Linked DNA regions of Astyanax mexicanus. The protein of the gene in region 2 purifies or fractionates together with the protein of the main gene of each other region. This does not show direct contact. Links are inferred from orthologs where the notes say so. Each region holds a gene or a part of one and is shown on either strand. Other genes may lie near its edges.

The links.
Region 1: the proteins of ezh1 (region 2) and phf19 purify together in Homo sapiens (affinity purification with mass spectrometry; 4 studies listed by BioGRID and IntAct, counting the BioPlex papers as one, with this or other methods). This does not show direct contact. The link is inferred for Astyanax mexicanus from reciprocal best matches to the Homo sapiens genes EZH1 and PHF19.
Region 3: the proteins of ezh1 (region 2) and mtf2 purify together in Homo sapiens (affinity purification with mass spectrometry; 3 studies listed by BioGRID and IntAct, with this or other methods). This does not show direct contact. The link is inferred for Astyanax mexicanus from reciprocal best matches to the Homo sapiens genes EZH1 and MTF2.

Annotation. Positions count from the first base shown.
Region 1 is NC_064419.1:1,743,901-1,751,298, forward strand, and holds the start of phf19 (PHD finger protein 19), read right to left. Parts: upstream 3,033-7,398; 5' UTR 2,878-3,032; intron 211-2,877; 5' UTR 187-210; coding exon 7-186; intron 1-6.
Region 2 is NC_064426.1:22,692,778-22,700,263, reverse strand, and holds the start of ezh1 (histone-lysine N-methyltransferase EZH1), read right to left. Parts: upstream 3,045-7,486; 5' UTR 2,859-3,044; intron 1-2,858.
Region 3 is NC_064411.1:55,195,588-55,202,881, reverse strand, and holds the start of mtf2 (metal-response element-binding transcription factor 2), read right to left. Parts: upstream 3,110-7,294; 5' UTR 2,946-3,109; coding exon 2,941-2,945; intron 2,019-2,940; coding exon 1,817-2,018; intron 1,095-1,816; coding exon 1,013-1,094; intron 636-1,012; coding exon 543-635; intron 1-542. Other genes in the region: dipk1aa (divergent protein kinase domain 1A), read left to right, coding at 7,267-7,294. UniProt on the Homo sapiens protein: Polycomb group (PcG) protein that specifically binds histone H3 trimethylated at 'Lys-36' (H3K36me3) and recruits the PRC2 complex, thus enhancing PRC2 H3K27me3 methylation activity.

The DNA.
Region 1 (7,398 bases), on a different chromosome or scaffold from region 2:
ACTCACCCTCTGAATCCTCCCCAGGTAATAGAGGCCGTCAGACCAACGGCAGAGGACGTACTGCCCGACGGTGAGCTTGCTCTCGAGATCACTGCAAACTGTCTCAAGTTTGGGCAGCAGCCGTTTGGCGTCTAGCTCGTCCGGACCCACAGCCAGGTAGCTGTCCCGGTAGGCTCCCTCCAACATACTTACCTCACACGCCTACAGTCCCTGAGGAGACAGAACCGGCAGAACATTAGACTACAGCTCTGGTCCAGGGGGTCAGCATCATTCACATTTATTCAGATTTAATCAGAATTCTGCTGATACAGCACATTTATCTTCTCTAACACAAATACATCAGCTGTTTTATGTCAGCAGAGATGTTTCTGCAGAAGTTTCTGAGGTGCATATATGAGCTGAAGCATCAGATTTACCTACTCTGCAACTTTTGTTAGCTAACCCATCAGGCCTACATATAAACGGGGTACCAAAAGGAAGTGCTGTTCTCTAAACCACAAATGTAAATTCAGCCACAAACGGTCCACTCTGTCAGTTTTGATTCACTTTGCAAGTAAAGAAAGGGCTGAAAGAAAAAGTACCTGCTCTGTGGAGCTGCAGGGACTGTTGGATGACTCAGAATCCGCCAAGAAATGAGTGAAACCAAAAGCAGCGAAGACGCAGAGTAGTAACGACGTCGGCTAACGTTAACTCTTGGTGGAACAGTGGACAATCACACTAATGTCCTTATGCAGTTATACACTTTACTATAGCATTACTATTACATGTACATTTATGGTATGTAGCTGACACTCTTTTTTAAAGTGGTTTTCCTATTATAGAGTTTGGCCAACGTAGTGTTAGGAGTCTAGCCCAAGGACTAATATATTATTATTATTGGCGTAGCGCAGCATTCAGTCACCCAGACCTGGAATTGAACCCCAATCTCCCACATGGTAGCTCACTGGTGGGCAGTGGTGTTATCCACTGTACCACACCAACCCCAGTTTAATTATTCTTACTATTATTCTTATATATTATATATGTATTATATGACAGTAATCATACAGTAAGCACACCAAACAAAGCACTCCAATAGGAATGCATTGACATTTGTCTGTAAACTTTGTCTCTAAACCAAAACTAATTATATATTATAATAAAATCTGCACAATCAAAGAAATAACAGTATAGCTTTATACTTTATGAACCAATAAAAAAATAAAAATCTACATATATTATTAAATACTAGTAAGCTATTAAGTAGCAGGAAAATGCAGCGTTATACAGGAGTTTCAGTTTAGTTCTCCAGCAGTATTAGCATTAGCGGCTAAACACGCTAAACACTAGCTCTTTTCGAAGTATATCGACCTGTAGCCCTCTGCTAACCCCAGATATTATTCCAACATTTTTCCAAACATTTTGGACACAGGTCTATTAGCCGAATGCATTTGCATTTCAACATTTAGCCTAATTTTCAAACCTTAAGAAATAGCCAAAGATTTGTTAAAACAGCTAAACTGTCTAAATGTTTTAGCATTCCAACATTTAGCCAAATGTTTGGGACTCAAACCGATATGTATTTGCATTTCCCCATTTAACCAAATGTTTCTGGACACAACTCTGTTTGCATTCCAACATTTCTGCAAATGTTTTTGGACTCTAACATTTATCCAAACGTTTTTATTCCCCACTTATACATGCATTCCAACATTTACCCAAACGTTTTACACACAGCTCTATTACCCAACTGTATCTGTATGCATCTACATCATTCAGTCAAACGTTTCTGGACACAGCTCTGCTACTCACATGTATTTACATTCCAACATTTATCCAAACGTTTCTGACCATTGATAATACCACAGAACCACCCTTTGAACCAACTGTTGAACTGCAATCACACTCCCTGCTTGAATCTTTGCACCAGGAGTGTAAAGCATACAGTTATCCAAAATCAGTGTGTAAGACTGGTGGAGGAAAACGTGATGCCAAGATTCATGAAAAAAAACTGTGATTAAAAAACAGGGTTATTTTTTAAAAATAAAATTCTTATCAATATGAACTTCTATGAACATCTTTTTTGTTATTTCAGCCATTTCTCATTTTCTGCAAATAAATGCTCTAAATGATATGATATTTTTGGAATATATTTGGAATTTGGGAGAAATATTGTTTTTAGTTTATAGAATAAAACAACAATGATCGTTTTAGTCAAATATATATCTATAAAAAGCAAAATTAGAGAAACTAATACAGAAATTGAAGATTCTCTTTATTTTTTCCAGAGATGTATTTTTTATGAATAGTGATAAATAGAGGTTAAGGAGTCATCCGGGTCCTGAAAGTGAAAATCCGCTCCGGGATTTCGTTCCAACTGGAACTGGAGCGGCGCTGCCCCGGCAGTTGGAACGAAATCCCGGAGCGGATTTTCACTTTCAGGACCACTGACAAATCTACTAACTTAATAAACTCCAGCTTGCACTTTCTAACTAACTGACATACTAAAAACACACTAAAAAATAAACTTAGCGAGCTAATAAAGCTCAAAAACGCTTAGATAAGTGTGTATTTCCCGTAAAAACGATATTTAGAGCTAAAGCAGCTAAACTGATTTTCCCTCCCTGGTTCAAATCTACCTTTAGCTGTGAATAACTGAATAATAACGCTGGAAAACGCGCTAACACTCATTTTAAACATTAATAAAAGAGAAAACGCGCCTCTAACTACACTAAAGACACAGGTATGGGTTTATCTAAAGTATAAAAGTTAGGATAAACAGCGTTGAATACAGTAGTGAGTTAGTGTAACAGTTACAGTAAGTTATCAGGCTGTAAGTTATTAAACAGTGTGTGTTTAGAGTAAATAAACGAGTTTCTCGCTCTTTTCCTTCATTACCGTGCTGATTTCTCCTCTCCTCAGGAGGGTGGAAGTTGTTCCCGGAGTGTTTAGCCCGCTGTAAGCGCTTCCATTCGCGGAATAAAGTGAGTTTTTCAGTCCTGAGCTGCTCTGCTCCGCTTAAACCGAGCCTCTGCAAGTCGCCATTTTTTCACCTTTTCCCGCGAATCATTTAGGTTTCAAGCTCAGCACCATCAGCAGCAGCAGCAGCCCCTCCCCTTCCACATACTACAGTATATATTTATACACATATATATATATATATATATATATATATATATATATATATATATATATATATATATATATAAATATGCAGCTCTGCGAAAAATCAAGAGAGCACTTCAGTTTCTGAATCAGTTTCTCTGATTTTGCTATTTATAGGTTTCTCCCAAATTCCAAAAAATAAAAATAAAAAAATAAAAAATATATTTTTTATATATTATTCATTATTATTAATTTTGTTCAGAAATCAATACTTAGTGGAATAACCCTGACTTTTTTTTAATGCATCTTGGCATCATGTTCTCCTCCACCAGTCTTACACACTGCTTTTTTTTTGAAGAGCATCATGCTTCCATCTGCTGAGAACTTTTATGGAGATGCGGACTTCATTTTCCAGCAGGACTTGGCACACTGCCCACTCTGTCAAAAGCTTTATAATAAGCTTAATAATAATAAGCAACAATAAAAGATATAATAAACACTTAAAACAGAAAACTCTATGTGTAATACATGAATACAATATTTTAATTTCACATTTGAACAGAATTACTAGCTAATACAAGCTCAAAAATATCCTGCACTTTTAATTTTGGTGTAGGATGTTTGTTGTTAAATAACTTTATTTTCGTTTGCTGTTTTTATACAAAATCAATGTATTGGTAAGTTACTGTCTACAAAATAGACAAACTGTTTTATTTAGCATAAATATCGTCGCTGTCCAATGAAAAACAAGTATTTTCAAAACAGCAACTTTACAAAAGAGAGAAAAATCCTTCAAAACTTTCAATGGAAATCAATGTAAAAAGAGTTTATTTCAGGTCATTTTAAAGTATTGGTATTATTGATTATTATTAATCGACTAATTTGCAAATCATTGTGATGCGTCTGCATACCAAAGTACACGGAAACATCATCCTCACCTATAGCACAGTTAAACCTGAGAGGGCGCTACAGAGGCGAAAATTAACACAATAAAAGTCATTAAAAGTATTTTTAAAGGTTAAGAAATAAAATAAAATAAATTATATATTTTATTACTTTAAAAGAACAGAGTTTAGCTACATATACATACATATAAATATTGTATGTAAGTTCTTTAAAGCCCACAATGTGTAAAATAACGAGTGACTATCTAACTTAACTGAGAAAAAGCAAGATGACGCCTTAACTGAGTTGTGTCAACATGTGTTTTTCATGTTTTTCAGTGTGGAAATAATACATTTTTATTAGACTTTAAATAAAAAGACACAGCTGTTAACTTTTTCAGTGACTTATATCTATGTTATTAACTCATTATAACACATTTTACAGCTTTCAGTGCAGCTCGATCATGTGTTGAGTTTGTAGGGTATCTGCAGAATCCGTCATTACTGAGCAATAAACTCAAATCCTTCCCCTGCTGGGAGACATTTGGGTGACATTACTGAGAATGAGGGCAGAACCAGTCTGCCCTTTCTGCCAGGTCACACTGACCAATCCCATTTAGTCATTTGTGGTCATTTTCTTGTTTACTCAGCAACATCAGGCAATAGGCCAAAGTGGACGTGAAAAATAGCAGGTCTAGTTGTTAAGTCTTCGTGGCCATAAGCTGCAGCGTGTGTCAGGATTCACCTTTTCCTTTCTCTTGAATATTTATCAACTTTCCACATTATTATTCTGCTTTACACACTGTAAAAAAGAAGATTGATGGGTTATATTGTAAATATTACACAAAATAATTGATTTTCTCACTATGAAGTGTAACTTCATGCTGGCTCACAACTGCAGCAAAGTTCACATTACAAGCCACATTGCTCAAAACCAGAGGTGGAAAAGTACTGAATAATTGTAATTAAGTAAAAGTACCTTTACTTTGCTAAAATTGTACTCAAGTAAAAGTAAAAGTACCCATCTAAAAATCTACTTGAGTAAAAGTAAAAAAGTACTCAATTTAAAATTTACTTTGAGTAAAAGTTACATAGTTACTTTTATTTATTTGATGTAAAAAAGTACAAATCATAAATTAAATAATTATTAAATGAAATAATTTGGGCAGTATTTGTTTAGACCATCCCATAAAACATATTCAAGAACAAGTGGCACAGGTTTCTATGATCCATTTTTTTTACTGTTAAAAAGTTAAAAGGTTATGGTCATATAGGTGACTATAAACTGTATTTTTATAGTTGTACAGGTAATTATTATTTTTTAACTTGCCATTCATATGCTTTAACTGCTATTTTACACGTTTTTTTTTAACATCCAAGCAGAATTTTTAATGGTTCTAATAAAAACATAAGGAATTATTATGAAAAACTTTGGTCGGTGCATGCGCAGTGCCGTAAAGAAGCACATATGGATGGGTAGCATAACTCGACAGAACACCGGTTCCCCCGAGTCACGCACACAGACCCCAGCTGATTTACACAGCATCTCTCCCGCTAACCAAAATAAACACTGCATGGAGACGTTTAGCTGCGCTACCATGGAGAACAAAACTCTTTAAAAAATTTTTTTTTAATTCAGACGATTTGTTTTTTTCCCAGCTTTTTATTATTTACTCAGTAATGGGGAATTTTCCAATGTAGCAAAATAAATTACTTGTGTCAAAATGTACTTGAGTAAAAGTAAAATTACCTATTTTCAAAACTATAACAAAAAATTACAAATTACTCATAAAATCTACTCAATTACAGTAATGTGAGTAAATCTAATTAGTTACTTTCCACCTCTGCTCAAAACTGATTTTTTTGCTCAGATTGGATTTATCTATCTTGTTGGTTCACATTTACAAATGTAAGTGATCTGTTTCTGTGTGTAATGTGAACGAAACATTGATACGCAGGGCCGTGCAGAGACCTTTGGAGGGGCAGGTGCTGAAAGTCAAAAGGGGGCACATGGAGCACGAATTTATAACACTATACAGAAACATACCTTTTAATATATGTACAAAGTTAATTTGTGGTCTTTCTGTAGTGTTACTGTAAACTACAAATGAACAGAAGTCACGTTAGAGGAGTGTTTCATATATGAAAGTAACTAAAATCTTATTTTATTTTTTTTTTATTAATAATTATATTTTTTCTATATTCTTAAGGATTTTATTTTTCTTAGCTACTGCAGACAAGGGAGCCTGAGAAACATATGTTTCATATGCAGCATCATAAACAACTCAGAGAGACCTAAAGTATTTCACAAACAAGAACAAGAAAAAGTGGATTTTAGCAGAAGGAGATCTTTAAGTAAAAATAAAACAATACTTAGTACACCTCTCTTTATTACAAAGTATTTTTCAGGCATTTTTCTGGAAACAAGTCCTACTTTTCACCAAATAAAGGGGGTCTTGGGTCTTTGTTTCTCTTTATGGCACATTTTGCATTATTTAATTTAAATTGCATTGAAAAAACTAGGCCAGAGTGAGTCACAGACTAATATGAGGAAAAATTCAACACAGGTATTGTACAACTAACACGTTGAAAGAAGTGTTGAATGGAAAACCAACATATTAGAGAAAACTGTTAATTAAAAGTCCTCTGCTCCACAATTCAATGCTGGAGGCTTTATGTTATAGAGACAATGTGAGTAGGAGTTCTTGGAACGATCCAATCAGTGCCTGTTTACAGATAAAGTCCGCTTTGTGGAGATCTGCGAAAGCGCAGGAGCCAAACCAAGCTGTAATATTATTTTTTTTTTGTGCATTATTGAGTCAAATGCTGCACTGTAAAAAAATATTCATTGGCTCAACTTAACTTAGTCAAGTTATTCATTTAGTCATTTAGCTTTGACTCAGTTAAGTTGTAAATATATACAATTTTAAGTTTATTTAACTTAACTTAAGTTTCATTCACACAACAACAGTTCTGTAAACTCAACTGTTTTTTTCTTCAAGTATTTTGGGCTTAAAAAATGTAGATAAATAAACTATTATACAGCCTAAAACACCGAGGCCTGGCAATCAACACTTACTTTACTGCATTACTAATGCACAACTAGGATAAGGCAGCTTTGAGCAACAGACAACACAAAGATGGTAAGTAAGGAAAAGGCCACACCCAATATGCAAATATATGGAGGAGCCAGGAGCCTATGGGAAGGCTGTATAAAACAACACTGTAAAAAAGAGCATTGAAACGTTTAATATACTAAAAGTTCAAAAGTGGTTCAATAAGCATTTTTAAGTTTTCAGGTTTAAGTTCTCTAAAATCATTTTATTGATTTGTATTAAAATATTATAATATTACTGTAGTTCTCCTGTTTAAAACACAAAATCACATTTTAGAGCGTGCCATTTATTCATCAGATTTTATTTGTTATTGA
Region 2 (7,486 bases):
TTGTGATAATATAATGATGATCTATGTAAGTGATTACAATATTATAGTAAAAGAATATGTTTATTGAGAACGACTCAAAAATCTTAAAAAAAAGGCTGTAGTACCCTGTTGGGTCGCCACTTTGAATACAAGTTGAAAATCATTTGGCATCATGTAGCACTTTTGCCCACATATGTTGTAGCTGGATGTGATAAATCTGGGGACCGGGCAGACCAAGGATGCAATCTTGTGGAGACATTCCTGTAAAAGCTGTGCTGTGTGAGGGTGAGCATTATCCTGCTGAAAAATGCCAGAAAAATACCCTGCCATGAGAAGAAACACATGTGGCTACAGGATATCCTTACAGCTGAGCTGTAAGAGTCCCTCATATCACTACTAGGGGTGACCAACTATTGCATTTGATGGCTCCCTAGGTCATCACACCAGCAGTTGTGGCAGTGGGTCACTCCACAGCAAAGGCAGGTCTCAAGAAGAATCTGGATTACAGGCGATTCAGTTCCAGTCTGTAGAAATCTGTGTTTTTGTTTACGACAGCACTGCAAACAAAGGTGACAGCTGGCAATTTGTTGAAACAACAACACTGCCGAGACCAGCTGCTGTGTTTGTTTGAATCACAGCTTTTAGCACTGTGGCTAACCTGCAATCCTAGGCTTTAAAACACAGGTTTAAAATAACCTACACGTGATATTTGCTACGTGATATTGTAGCAAATAGCAATATTTAATCTAACCCTTCACAACTAAATATCCAGACCTGTCTGCACCAAGGTTTCTGTCTTTGTTACATTATTACATGATAAAGCGTTTGTTCACAGGTGTTGTAATAAGCCTTAAATTAAAGCAGCTTCACACCTCACAGATATACGCGCTGGAGCACAGAATCTTCTCCAATCAGAGGACACAACGTGCTCACGTGGTTGATTGGTGCGCATTTTGGTGCATTTATGTTTATGCCTGTGTGAAACCAAACCAAACTAAAGGGAGAAAACATAAAATTGATTCGGACCAGAGAAACGGACTACAGGTGTGAAAACACCCTTAGTGAAACTAAGCATCCGTCATAGAACAGAACAGCTCTTTTCTGGGACAACACATTGTTCACAAAACAAATGTTCTCATGGTTTATGGCCCCTTTCACAACTGCTACTTTGACCCAGACCAAACTGAAATCAACCCAGCTGGCACACAACCGAACTTCAACGTTGAAATGTGGTTGAAATATGACTAAAGTAATGTATGTTGTTGTTTCACCGTTTAAACAACGCTTTTTCGCTATTGAAATTTTAATGTTGAATCAACATAATGTACTCAACGTTCTGCCTTTTGAATCAGCATTTTACATTTCATCACCATATAATTTATAAAAATGGTGGGATGGACGAATGAAACAGTGTTTTACTTCTATTTGCAGTAACTGCTTTTACATTAACATCATGTTCATGTTCTAATAGTTTTACGGTTTTAGTGTTTTTGAGATCAAATGTTGAATCAAATTGGTAGTGGTGGGTAACTTTCTTTATACTCAGCTTTACTACAGTGATGTAAGTTTATTGTTAACACTTTGTTAACCATACGATTGTCTCATTTTAGTGAGCTATGGTTTATTAGTGGTTGAACATATGACGTTGACACAACGTTGCTATATTACCGTTGATTTCCTTTTCAAAATCAACAGTTGATTCAACGTTGATTCAACCACAACATCTACCTTGATCAACGTTGATTCAACGTTTATACAACGTTGAAATGCCAGCTGGGAAGGTAGGTGTGAATGCCCCATTAAAATAACCTACAGAAACAAAACACATATCATGCCAGATGTCAACAAATATATAGATAAGAAGTCAATTTTGGAAAAAAATGCTGAAAAACAGAACTAATAAGAACATAAAAATGTTTCAAAGACAGAGGATAGCAGTAGATTCACACTGATGATGCTCTGGAGTGAATTTCTCCAGATGTGATAAGATCTCATACACAGCAGCTTCACACACAGACTCACAAAATACATGACTCAAACTTTGTCATTGAGGAGCATTACTCCCGCGCGCCTGCTCTGCTCGCTCCGGCGCCTCCTGCTCGCAGCAAAACAGAACTGCAGCTCGCCCTGTTTAAAGGGCTTTAAAGCCCTTCCTGGAAAAAACAGTCACTCACTTGCGCGCGCGGTCAGCATTATTAGGGTAGTCACCTAAATTTAACACCAACATTCCACATCCGGTGGCTGAATACGGGGGAAAACAGCGAGCTTCAGTGTGAGTGAGCAGTCTGACGGTGGTGTGAGCGCGCGTGCACGCGTGTAGCAGGAGAAAAACACATGCAACCTCTCGTCTCGAGACTGGAAGTGGGCGTGACTCCTTCCCCTCCTACTCCTCGCGACTAAAAAGTGCGCAGTGCACTTTCATAACAGCCCCCAAATCCTCTCGAATCCTCCTGAAAATTAGCAACAAAGATCTGCTTTTGCAGAGAACCAAAAACCCAAAAGCACGCGTGCACGAGAGATCGTGCGTGCGGAGGAAAAAAGAGAGGGGGTGGCGGGTTGACGGGCAACACCACGCACGAGCCGCTTGCGTCGAAGAATATCACTTCTTCTGTACGATGGCCACCTAATTACTGCTACAGCACAAACACGCACATACATATGCACACGCATGCATGCACGCGCCACTTCGCGGCGTGTATGTAGCGTGCTAGTTTTAGCGTCATGCGAGGCAGCGCGCACGCGGAACGCTGCTATAAACGCACGTTGCAGGGGATTTTGCTGCTGTGAAACGCACGCACGCACACACACACACCACACACGAACGCGCGCGTTCACACGCAGGCACACATTTACACATAGTGCACACAGTTTCGGAATACCTTCAGACTCGCGTGTCCCCGCGTTTCGGTCTCCACACGCTGAAGGGCTCGAGCTCCAGACCCCTGTAGCGTCCTCGAGGACCAGCCCGCAGCCCCGCGTCACCCGTAGCGCGCGGGCAGCACCGCAGCGGCCCAGACTTGAGCTCAGCTGCCTTCCAGTTTTTAGGAGCTGCGCACTCGGGGCTGGTCGGAGTGTGACGTCTTTATTAGGAGCGACTGCACGGAGCGGACACACACACACACTACACACACACACCGAGCAGCAGCAAACACGAAACATGACTCATCACATCATTCAAACAATTATACACAGTAATAATAATAATAATAATAATAGTGTAATAAAATTGTAATAATATTATGTTTATCATTAATATCACTAATATAATAGATATAATGCAGATGTATTACTGTTGCTAGAGTGCTGATATGTACATTACTGTGTATTGGACACATTTATAATAGTACAATAATGGTAGTTTGTAATGTTATTAGCATTGCCATCAATAATATGCGTAGTATTGCTGGTATGTATACTGCTATGTACTATTTATCTATTTAATATTGATTAATAATTATTATTATTATTATTAGTAGTAGTAGTAGTAGTAGTAGTAGTAGTAGTAGTAGCAGTAGTAGGAGTAATAGTGCTAGTAGTAATAATGTTAGTTATAAAATAAAGCATTCTATTATATAGAATACGTATTCTATTCTATCATGTCATCAACAACAACAATGCTATAGTGTTATTATTATAATTATATATATATTATTATTGTATTATGTAATTTTGTCATTAGGCTCATGTTGTAATTATAGAGGAACAGAACACACGATGGGCCGGTGTGAGTAACGCCCACACAAACTCCGCAGATCTGTGTGGAGGTGATGCTGACTGTATGTATGTATTTATGTATGTATTTATATATTTATTTTGTTATTTTCTAACTGTACTCCACAAGCCCCGCCCTCTTGTGCTGGGATTGGTTAGTAGTGACCAGCCCCCTGTGCTGGGATTTGTTAGTGAGCGGTCCTCTGTTCCAGAGCTCTGGAGGGGCGGGGCCTGTCAGAGGACGAGTGGGAAAAACAACGCTGGAGTCAAACCACGCTGCCGCCCGGACACGTGACTCAGACAGAGAAGCGCAGCGCCTCCCAGCGGAGAGCAGCGGTACAGTCCATTACATAAAACACCCATACAGAACCTGGAGGGCTATAATAATAATACATATAAATAATAATAATATCATTAATAATAATATTCAGGCGCCGCATATTCTCAAGTGTATTTATTTGTTTGTTATTTCTTTTACATAAATTATTTGTAAATAAAAAATATGATTTATAAGAATATTTTAATATCAGTGTCATGTGTAAAAAATAAATAGCCTTTTTAATTTACTGTTATTAGCAAATCAAACAAACAAATAACTAAAATTAATGGCATGAAAAAATAAAAATCAGTCTAAACAAGGTGCTGCATATTCTTAAGTTTATTTATTTATTGCATTTTATATGCATTATTTATGTTATTATTAAATATTCATTATAAAAACAACAATAATAACAATTAAAAAAAACTAATGCATAATGTTTAAACATCAAAACCATTTAAACAATCAACTACTTAATTATTATTATTATTGTTATTATCTAATTTTTATTATTTTCTAGTCACTGAAAAATAACTTGCTTTCACATAACGTTTTTTCTTTTAAGCTGCATTGACTAAATGATCCCACTAGATGGCGGCATAGAGCCAGTTTTCACAGTAATGTGTTGTTATTAGTGAAAAGTGTAGTGAAAAAAGTGCACTGAAGTGCTCTTTAGCTAAAATGTATTTCACAGTCTTGGAAAGATGTATGTCAATTATTCAAGCAGGCATCTATTGAGTAAAGATAACTTGTGCTGTGCATATTTATGAATTAGTTAATATTTTTTTTAAACCCACTGTGCTTTATGCACTCTCCGAATAAGGCTATTAAACTGTCACTGGGGTAATACTCTAAAATGACTTTAACGTAAACACCTGTACCCTAAGGACCTTTGAGGGTATATTTGCATTGTTTGTACCCAGTGAAACAAATGTATCCATACAAGAAAGTGTCTTTTAATAATATATTCATAACAAGAAAAAACTAAGTAAAAAGTGTCTTAAAATAAATAGAGACATGCAATAAGCAGGTGTTTTGAATTACCTAATTATCCTCTGGAGGTAACAGGGCCAGACAGAGAAAAAAACGTATCATTTAGCCAGTACAACGTGTGTGTTTCTAGGCCTATACAAATGTTATCAATTAGTGTTTGTTAAATAATATATTACAGGAAATAAGTAGAAATATGTAGGCTACATTAATATATATGTAAAAAATAATAACATTAATTGCCATTATGAAAAAAACATTAAGAGAATAAAACCACGACTGGGATTCGAACTAGGCTTCCATCCGATGTTCTGTCGAGTTTTGCTACCCTGTCAAAGCGTACTACCCTAGTGCATATTTAAATTTTAAATATAAAATTGCTAGAAAAAGCCCCATATTTAAACATGCTTTAGGTAGAATATTTGGACAGCCTGAATCAAAATATCAGGAGACAGTTTAGGGTTATTAGGGGTGATTATAACCCTTATTTTTTTATTATTGCTCACTTATTATTACTTTCATTATTATTAGCTGTCATTTATTTGTAATACTCAGAAATAATGTCAAGGGGTTTCTGGTTGTTTAATGCACCAAAAAAAAAATTACTATAAAAAAAACAATAAATAAATAAAAAATGTTTCCACGCATGGGCACTGGTGTTAAGAAGCACATCTCTATGGGTTGCACAATTCGACAGAACGCAGAGTGCTGCACGGTTGTAGGCGCACTGCTGAACCACTGAGTAACACACATTTCTCAGGTCTCATTTTAATAAGACTCATTCAGAATGGTGATTATTTAATAAAAAAAAATATTGCAATAGCAAATATGTGTATGTTTTTTTAAGTAACAATGTCTGTTACAATTAATAATTAAGCTATATAATATATAGCAATTATTGTGTAAATTTTACTTGCAGTTCATTGTAATTTTATTAATAGTATTGTTGTCCATTATGTTGTGGTGATAATTACAATATAAATAGCCTAAACATAAGTAACATATTTTTGGCAAAATATTTTAAAGATTGTGAGTTTTGCACGTTTTCTGCTGGGAAAGTCTGGCCGAACACATCTGGAAACACCTTAGTTAAGACCACGGTGGTTCAAACCAACATAGTTCAGACTTCTGTGGTACCAACAAAGTACGATGGTTTCGGGAAACGGTCGTACTTCAGATGTTAGTTAGTTTAACGATGCATCGTACCACGTTAGTTCAATTCTAGGCTCCGTCGTTGTACGGGAAACGCACCCCAGGTTGAGACTTCAGTCAGGCTCAGTCTCTAGTCTTTGGGATGCTGATGTCATTATGATTAACGAATAAACAATATAGAGCCCCCTCCCTAAAACTGTCCTAAAGGAACAGAGCTCTTTTTGTTTGAATCTTAAATGCAGTAATAACATATACATCCGAGTATCCAACTGATAGCCAAGACAGCCATATTTACCATACCTGTACACATACAGTAGATGAGACACACAGGTAAACCATTTAGTGAACACACGTGCATATGCACTAGTGATTACACACAGTGTTATATTAAGGTTGTGCCTGGAGCAGAGAGGGTCAGGTGTCTTGTTTAAGGGCCCAATACTGCAAAGGGGTGCCAGTTGCTTGTTGTAAATTTTCCAAAATAAATATAATGTTTAACCTTTACATTTTTCTCAGTCCTGTTACCAAAACTCATGTGACATTTAAAAAGCATGTTTAAAAGTCCACAAATTCCTTAGATTTTCTCTCAAGAAAGTCTTTATATTAAAGACATGGTTGACTGCATGTTCAAATAAATTATATTTCTGACAAAAATCACTATATTTGCATGCATATTATAATATGCAAACAATTTTTATCTTTTTAGGAAGACCCAAACCTGAATTTGATTAAAATAATTATCATGCAAATTATTAAACAAATGGATAAATCATGAAGCAAACAGAAATGGAAAAAGTGGTTTATTAATACTCACAATAATAAATCAATAAACCAGGGTACAATACTCAATCCTGTTACGTAAACTCACTCCTGTTACTGGCACTCATTCTTGTTACATTTTATGTTTTGAGTAACAGGACTGAAAGTAACAGGAATAAGTTTTTAGCACTGAATTAGCAAAAATATGAAAAAAAGCAAAATGGTGGATATGCCAAGAGCATTAGGATTTGTTATTTAAAAATAAACAAATAATATCTAAAAATTAATTTAGGTAACAGGAATGAGTGTTGAGATTGACCTCCTCAGTCATAGTAACAACGAGATCAAATATACAGAAAAATAAATGAGGGAGCTTAATTTTGGTCTTTCCATGATGAAGAACCTGTCACGTGGTCCCTGTCTGGTGTTTCTGTGTTTATTTACCTTGAGTGTGTCTCCCACGTGACCCGTGTTCCTCAGTGTTTCTTGCCCTCACCTGTGTTCATTTGTAACTCCGCCCCTTAGCCCCAGGTGTTTTCTGTTTCCCGTGTGTGTGTGTTCCTCTATTTATAGTCC
Region 3 (7,294 bases), on a different chromosome or scaffold from region 2:
TACATCAGCTCACAGATGCAGCGTTGTGCTGATCCACACCACCCTAGGAGTGATGTGGGGAGAGAGCGCCATCTACCCACCCGGAGGGAGCAGGGCCAATTTTGCTCGCTCATAGTGGCAGCGCTTTAGACTGCTGGACCACTCGGCGCCACAACTTTGAATTTTTACACTCAACTGTTTTCCAAACGAAGGAAACAAAATCATTTTTTTAAGCTCTTTTTGACCACCTTATGGCCTATACACCTGCAATTAGTGATCAGATAAGTCGAGTCAAGTAGTTTTTATTGTCAGTACTGCATATGTACAGGACATACAGAGAATTGAAATTACGTTACTCTCATCCTCATCCGTAAATATAAAAGAACGGGAGACACTATATTTACAATACAACAAGGGTCTGTGCCAATACTTTTGCTTATATATATATATATATATATATATATATAAAGACAAAAGATAGCTTAAATGTAAGTATAATATAGTCTGAGTAAAAGGTGCAAAGAAGTGTAAACAGACAGTGTAGAGTTTTAACTCTACATTACCTTGTCCACACTTGTCACAGATGACCATTTCATTGGGCGGTTCTGAGGTTTCATTCTGGCAAATGGTGCAAAGCATCTCCTCTCCACTGTCCCCTGAAACACAGCAGCACCAGTAAAATGGTAAGTTTAATCTAAATATAAAATTGTTTTCTTTGCATTATTTGAGGTCTGAAATCTCTGCATCTCTGCATTTTTGTTATTTCAGCCATTTCTCATTTTCTGTAAATAAATGCTCTAAATAACAATATTTTTATTTGTAATTTGGGAGAAATGTTGTCTGTAGTTTATAGAATAAAACAACACTGTTCATTTTACTCAAACATAAACCTATAAATAGCAAAACCAGAGAAACTGATTCAGAAACTGAAGAAGTGCTCTCCTCATTTTTACCAGAGCTGTATATATATATATATATATATATTGAAACTGAATGATGCAGGTAGATCACAGGGAAAAGGTGAATGTATTACCTGTTTGAATATCCTTCCAAAGAACCCACGATTTGGACTGATCTTCAAAAACCACGAAACAGCGATGCTTCTGTTTGTCTATCTGTGTAAAAGAAAAAGAAAAACAACTTTGTAAAACACAGAATAAAATATAGTAAAGTTATTTAAGCCCAGTCATGCAAAAAACTATAAATAAATAATAATAATCATTCGCCCTATAAGGTACACTTAAAATCCTTTAATTCTCCCCAAAATCATCAGTGCTTCTTATAATCCGGTGCTCCTTATGTATAAATTATATCAGTCAGGTATTAATGAGCAATAAAGCCACTATGAACACTGAAGTACAGAGTTATGAAGGAGTTTCAGTTTTGTTCTCCAGTACCAGGGCTAAAGTAGCATTAGCATTAGCTGCTAACAGCTATTTTCCCATTCAGAGGTGAGTATTACCGGCCTGTAGCCTGCTGCTAATCCTAGCTAGCACTGCTGGAGCAGCATTAGCGTTACTAAGCTAAGTGCTAGCTCTTTCCCTGCTCAGAGGTGAGTATTATTGGACTTTGGTCTGCATGCTGACTGTGTTAAAACAAGCTACGTAGCACGAACCGCTGCCTAATATCACCCTGGACTACTGGAACACTCAGGGTTCCTCAGTGTAGCGTTATCGTGTGGCTTTAGCCGTTAACCGCTAGAAAATAGTTGTTTATTGAAAGTGGGCCTTATAATCTGGTGCACCCTTATAGTGCGAAATATACTGTACATTTTGGTCATACAGTCCTGCACTAATCACAATACAGATGCTCGGTCCCGCCCCTAATCTGTGCTCACCTTTGCGATTGTCGCCAGGTAAAACAGGCCATCGGACCACCGAGCTAAAACGTCCTGCCCCTCCTCGAACTTGCTGGCGAGTCTGTCGGCGTCGCTCTGCCCATCTCCGAGAGAGAGTCTGGACAGCGACGGCGGGGACGGGTCTCGGCGCTGGGAAGGAGATTTCTGATGGGAGCCCAGACTGTGTGCCACCGTTGAGTCTCTGTTTTAAAACAAGAAGAAAACAGAAAACGATGTTTCGGTGAAAGTGTGTACAGCAGAGCTGCAGGCCAAAGAAAAAAACATACAATTAAAAAAATACAACAACCAATCATAACATTAGAACCACCTTTTTGTGTTTCTAAACCCATTATCCCTGATTTTTACAGCTAATTTCATCAATATTTCAAACCAATACTTCAGGTCTAGGTTCAGCAACGTTATGTGCCCAGAAATCACAACAATAGACAAACACAGTTTGCTTAAACTAATACCACACACATAATTATATTTGCATGTTTTTACTGAACACAACATGTTAACATTCACATACTCCCCCCCCTTACTGTGAATGTTAACATGTGTTCAATAAAAAAAAGAGAGACAGACATCTTGATAGATAGATAGATAGAACTATAAACACCTATAAGCTTCTAAGACGATATAAAAATGTGTAGCTAGAGACAGACAGTTATTAAGAGAGAGAGACACTCATGCAGATAGACAGATAACTAAGTAGATAGATAGATAGATAGATAGATAGATAGATAGATAGATAGATAGATAGATAGATAGATAGATAGATAGATAATTGGACTCTTCTGAAACAGGATGGGTATTTGCACAGTGTTGTTTAATAGGAGAGAAGCTACTCCCTGCATCAGGTAAATCACTCCTACAGTAACTGTTAATTATCTGAAGAGTAAAGGTATAATAAAGGTGAATATTTGCTGAATTCGGATCGCCGGTAATAAAGAGAAGCGGTATAAAAGCCTGCTCCGGTTCTGTGTCGGTGTGAAAGCGGATTTTAATCCGGATTGTTGCAGTGTGAAGCGGATTAGCAGTGTTTTAGTTAGCAGGGGGAGCAGTAGTTATTGTTGTTGGTGTATTGTTCAGTTTTATAGCGGGTTTATCAGCTGTCTCACCTCATTCGGGCCCTTCCCGCGGTTAAACTGCACCTCACACAGAAAAACACGAAGCTCGGCTTCAGCACGGAGCGCGCGGCCCGCAGCTATCCCCGCATTTCCCCCGGTTTCTAACAGAGAGCGGCGGACTGATCTCCCCGCAGCGCCGCGCTCGCCATGTTGGATTCCCGCTGAGCGGAGCTGCTTTACCACAGAGCCTGAGCCGCCGAGACCTCCCACTACCGCCGCCACCGCCTTTACCGCACACCAGGGGGCGCTGCCGAGCCAGAGCCCAATATTACCGGGTTCAGATAGAGGCAGACAGGCAGAGAGAGAGACAGATAGCTAGAAAGAAAGAGACAGACAGCTAGTAAAAGAGAAAAAAAATAATGTCTGCCAAAGAAAGAGCGAGGCAGACAGCTAGAAAAAAAGAGAAACACAGACAGCTAGTAAAAGAGAAAGAAACACAAAGACAGGTAGAGAGAGAGAGAGAAACACAAAGACAGGTAGAGAGAGAGAGAAACACAGACAGCTAGAGAGAGAAAGAAACACAAAGACAGGTAGAGAGAGAGAAAGAAACACAAAGACAGGTAGAGAGAGAGAGAGAAACACAAAGACAGGTAGAGAGAGAGAGAGAAACACAAAGACAGGTAGAGAGAGAGAGGCAGATAGCTAGAAAGAGAGAGAGAGAAACACAGACAGGTAGAAAGAGAGAAACAAAAAGACAGGTAAATACAGAGAGAAACACAAAGACAGGTAGAGAGAGAGAAAGGCAGACAGCTAGAAAGAGAGAGGGAAACACAGACAGCTAGATAGAGAGAGAGAGAAACACAAAGACAGGTAAAGACAGGAAGACAGTTAGAAAGAAAGCAAGGCAGACAGCTAGAAAGAGAGAGAGAGAAACACACAGACAGGTAGAGATAGAGGCAAACAACTAGAAAGAAAGAGAGAGGCAGACAGTTAGAAAGAAAGAGACAGACAGGCAGCTAGAAAGAGACAGACAGTTAGAAAGAAAGAGAGATACAGACAGCTAGAAAGAAAGAAGAAACAGACAGACACAGCAAGAGAGAGAGAAAAACAGCTAGAAACAAAAGTTAGAGAGACAGACAACTAGAAAGAGAGACAGACAGCTAGAAAGAAAGAGAAACAGACAGACATAGAGAGACAAACCGACAGCTAGAGAGTGAGAGAAAGAGACAGACATACAGAAAGATAGAGAAACAGACAGAAACAGAAAGACAGCCAGAGAGGGATAGAGAGAGATAGACAGACAATCTGCTGGAAAAAGAAACAGATAACTAGAGAAAGAGACAGACAGACATCTATATAGAGAAAGAGAGAGAGACAAAGAGAGACAGACAGACAGGTAGAAAGGGAGAAAGAGACAGACAGAGAAACGAACACAGCTAGAGAACGAGAGATAGAGGTAAAGAGAGAGAGAGAGAGAGATATAAATAGATAGTTACAGTGGTATTTTTTAATTAGGGTTTTAGCAGATTAGCTCCATTTACCCCATTCATTGCGCTCTCTCTCTCGGGCTCCCTCTGGCGGTGGGCGGTGGGTACTGGTATTACAGGCTGAGCGGGCAGTGGGCGCTCTCCCAGTAAACCCGCTCAGTCCGCCCATTCTCTTCCCTCACAAAATTTGAATTTGAAAGAGGTGTTTTATTTATTTATTTATTTATTTATTTATTTATTTACACACACGTTTTTTAAGCAGTTTCAGTAAACTGCATTCATGTTTATTATTTAATGTTTCAAGTTGCAGTGAATTGTGTGAGACTAGCTGCTTTTTGAATAACTGATTAGAACATATATACAGTAATTACATTTATAATATATAATATTATAGATTCATATGTATATAATATTATAGAATAATAGAATCATATACAATTTACAATCATTTAATATTGTACTTAAATTTTAAAGATGTATTGTTATGTTAATTGGCCTCTTGCATGTCTCTCCTATTTTTTAAATCTGTATTTACTAGTTTATTTTTGTGGGCGGAGCTTTTACTAATTGAAGATTAAAATATATACAACCATATAACAATTTAATCTAACGGGTTACTTTAATTTGTTAATTCTCATTTATGTTCATTCTTGAATGTTGAAGCTTGAATGCGTCTAGTTAGACAATGATATAATATTTTTTATATGATATTATTTGATTTAATGCCTTACTTTTTCTATTTAATATTAATTTACGCTTAATTTTACTGAAGATTAAAATACAAATCTAGTATAAAATAGAAAAAACGATCCAGAGGAAATACGCCATTTACGGAAATTCGTTCTGAACGAACATCTAACAATAAAAAACACAGAAATGCAGTTTCTACGAATGTTTACCTGAAACGGACTACAAAAGCTGTCGCATGTTGACGTCACTGCCGTGCGCTTCACGTAGCGGCGGCTCCACTGCCCTCTGGGACTTGTAGTTTAATTGCATTTGACTTTTTTTTTTAGGATTTGCGTTGTGAAAATGTAGAATAGAAAAAAAAGAAAATTAATTATGTGATTCTTTTTATATTAATGTTTTTTTAGAGGCTAATAAACAGCCACAAAGAGCCAGTATATATATATATATATATATATATATATATATATATATATATATATATATATATATATATATATATATATATATATATATTTAAAATATATAAACGGTTTTGCAACAAATAATTATAATTAAAATTCTGAAATAAAAGTACGGCAAAGTTTTCCACGATATATACAGTTCATTAGAGGTTCTTAATAAGTAATAAAGTACTAATTTAGACACAAAGATTAGATTAAACATATATAAAAATAAAAATGACAAAAAAGACTACAAAAGCTGTCACGCTGTGACATCTCTCTGGGATTTGTAGTTTAATATTATTTTACTTTTTGTTTAATTTTGTTGTGTTGTGTACATTGGATTTAATAAAATAAAAGGCAACTTCATACAACTATTAATATTTTTTTTAAAATATAATGTTTTTTAAAGCTAAACCAATGTTTTTTTTTTTACAATAATACTATTATTTTTTGTTTTAAAAAATAACATTTACGTTTAAATCAGTTAATTGGCTGTAGTCATACTACATTGAGTTTATATATATATATATATATATATATATATATATATATATATATATATATATATATATATATATTAAACATATAAATACTTTTGCAACAAATAATTAACTTGTAACTTGTAGCTTGAAAGTTGATATAAAACAATTCAACAGAAGTTCATTCATTTAACATATATATTTTAGCTTTGGGGAAATTTAATTTCTCCATACTTTTTTGGACAAATTAATGTTTTTAGAGGCTAAAAATTTTACATTTTTTTATTAAACATTTAAATATTTTAAAATTAGGACAAAGCTTAAATTGTATTATAGAAATAAGTCTAATAATTTATAATTATGAGTATTGTCTTGTTTATTATTTAAGTAATCACGTAAACGTGTTCTTTTAAAAGCCATGACATTTTTTTTGTACAATAATATAATATAAATAATTTTAGTTTTTTAAAAATACTATATTATTGTATATTACATTATTGTATTGTACAATTACATTTTTTAATACATTCATTTATTTATTATTTTACATATTTTACATATTATTATATTATATATATATATTTAATTTGTTGTATTCACACTAAATTGAGTTTTTAATCGTTTTGACTACAGTTTTATTCGCGTGTACGGTCATTAGAGGGCAGCAGAAACCATTATGTACTTTTATACGTTCATTATTATTATTATTATATTATATTATATTATATTATATTATATTTTTTATATATTATATGTCGGCCCACACAAAAGTGCGTTCTGCACCTTTAAGAGATTTCATTGGATATAGCAGCAGTGAACTGACGGTGTGGTTATGGGACTGTAGTGACTGAAAGTGACATGAATATATATAAAAATATAGATTTTTGGATTAGATTAAGGATATATATGCAGAAATCAGCATTTGAACGATAGGATGGATTAAGGGAAAGGTGTATCTGTGTCGTGGATTAGTGGTGAGTATGCAGCGAAGGAGATAAACCATGCAATGTGGCTGTTTTTGGAATTTTCCGTTCCACCTTAAATGGAGCGGCTGCTACATTCAGGCGCACGCAGGCAACCTGCGTGCGCCTGAATGTAGCAGCCGCTCCATTTAAGGTGGAACGGAAAATTCCAAAAACAGCAACGCTTGAACCTGCTCAAAATCAATGTATATGCCTTGCACACTGGTTTAATCATCATTTATATCTAATATCTCCTTTTTCCTTCTTTATATACCTGTTTCCAGCTCCACAGTCCCTGAAATGACCCATTTCTGCTATGGCGAGGGGTCTGTTTCCACGGGCCT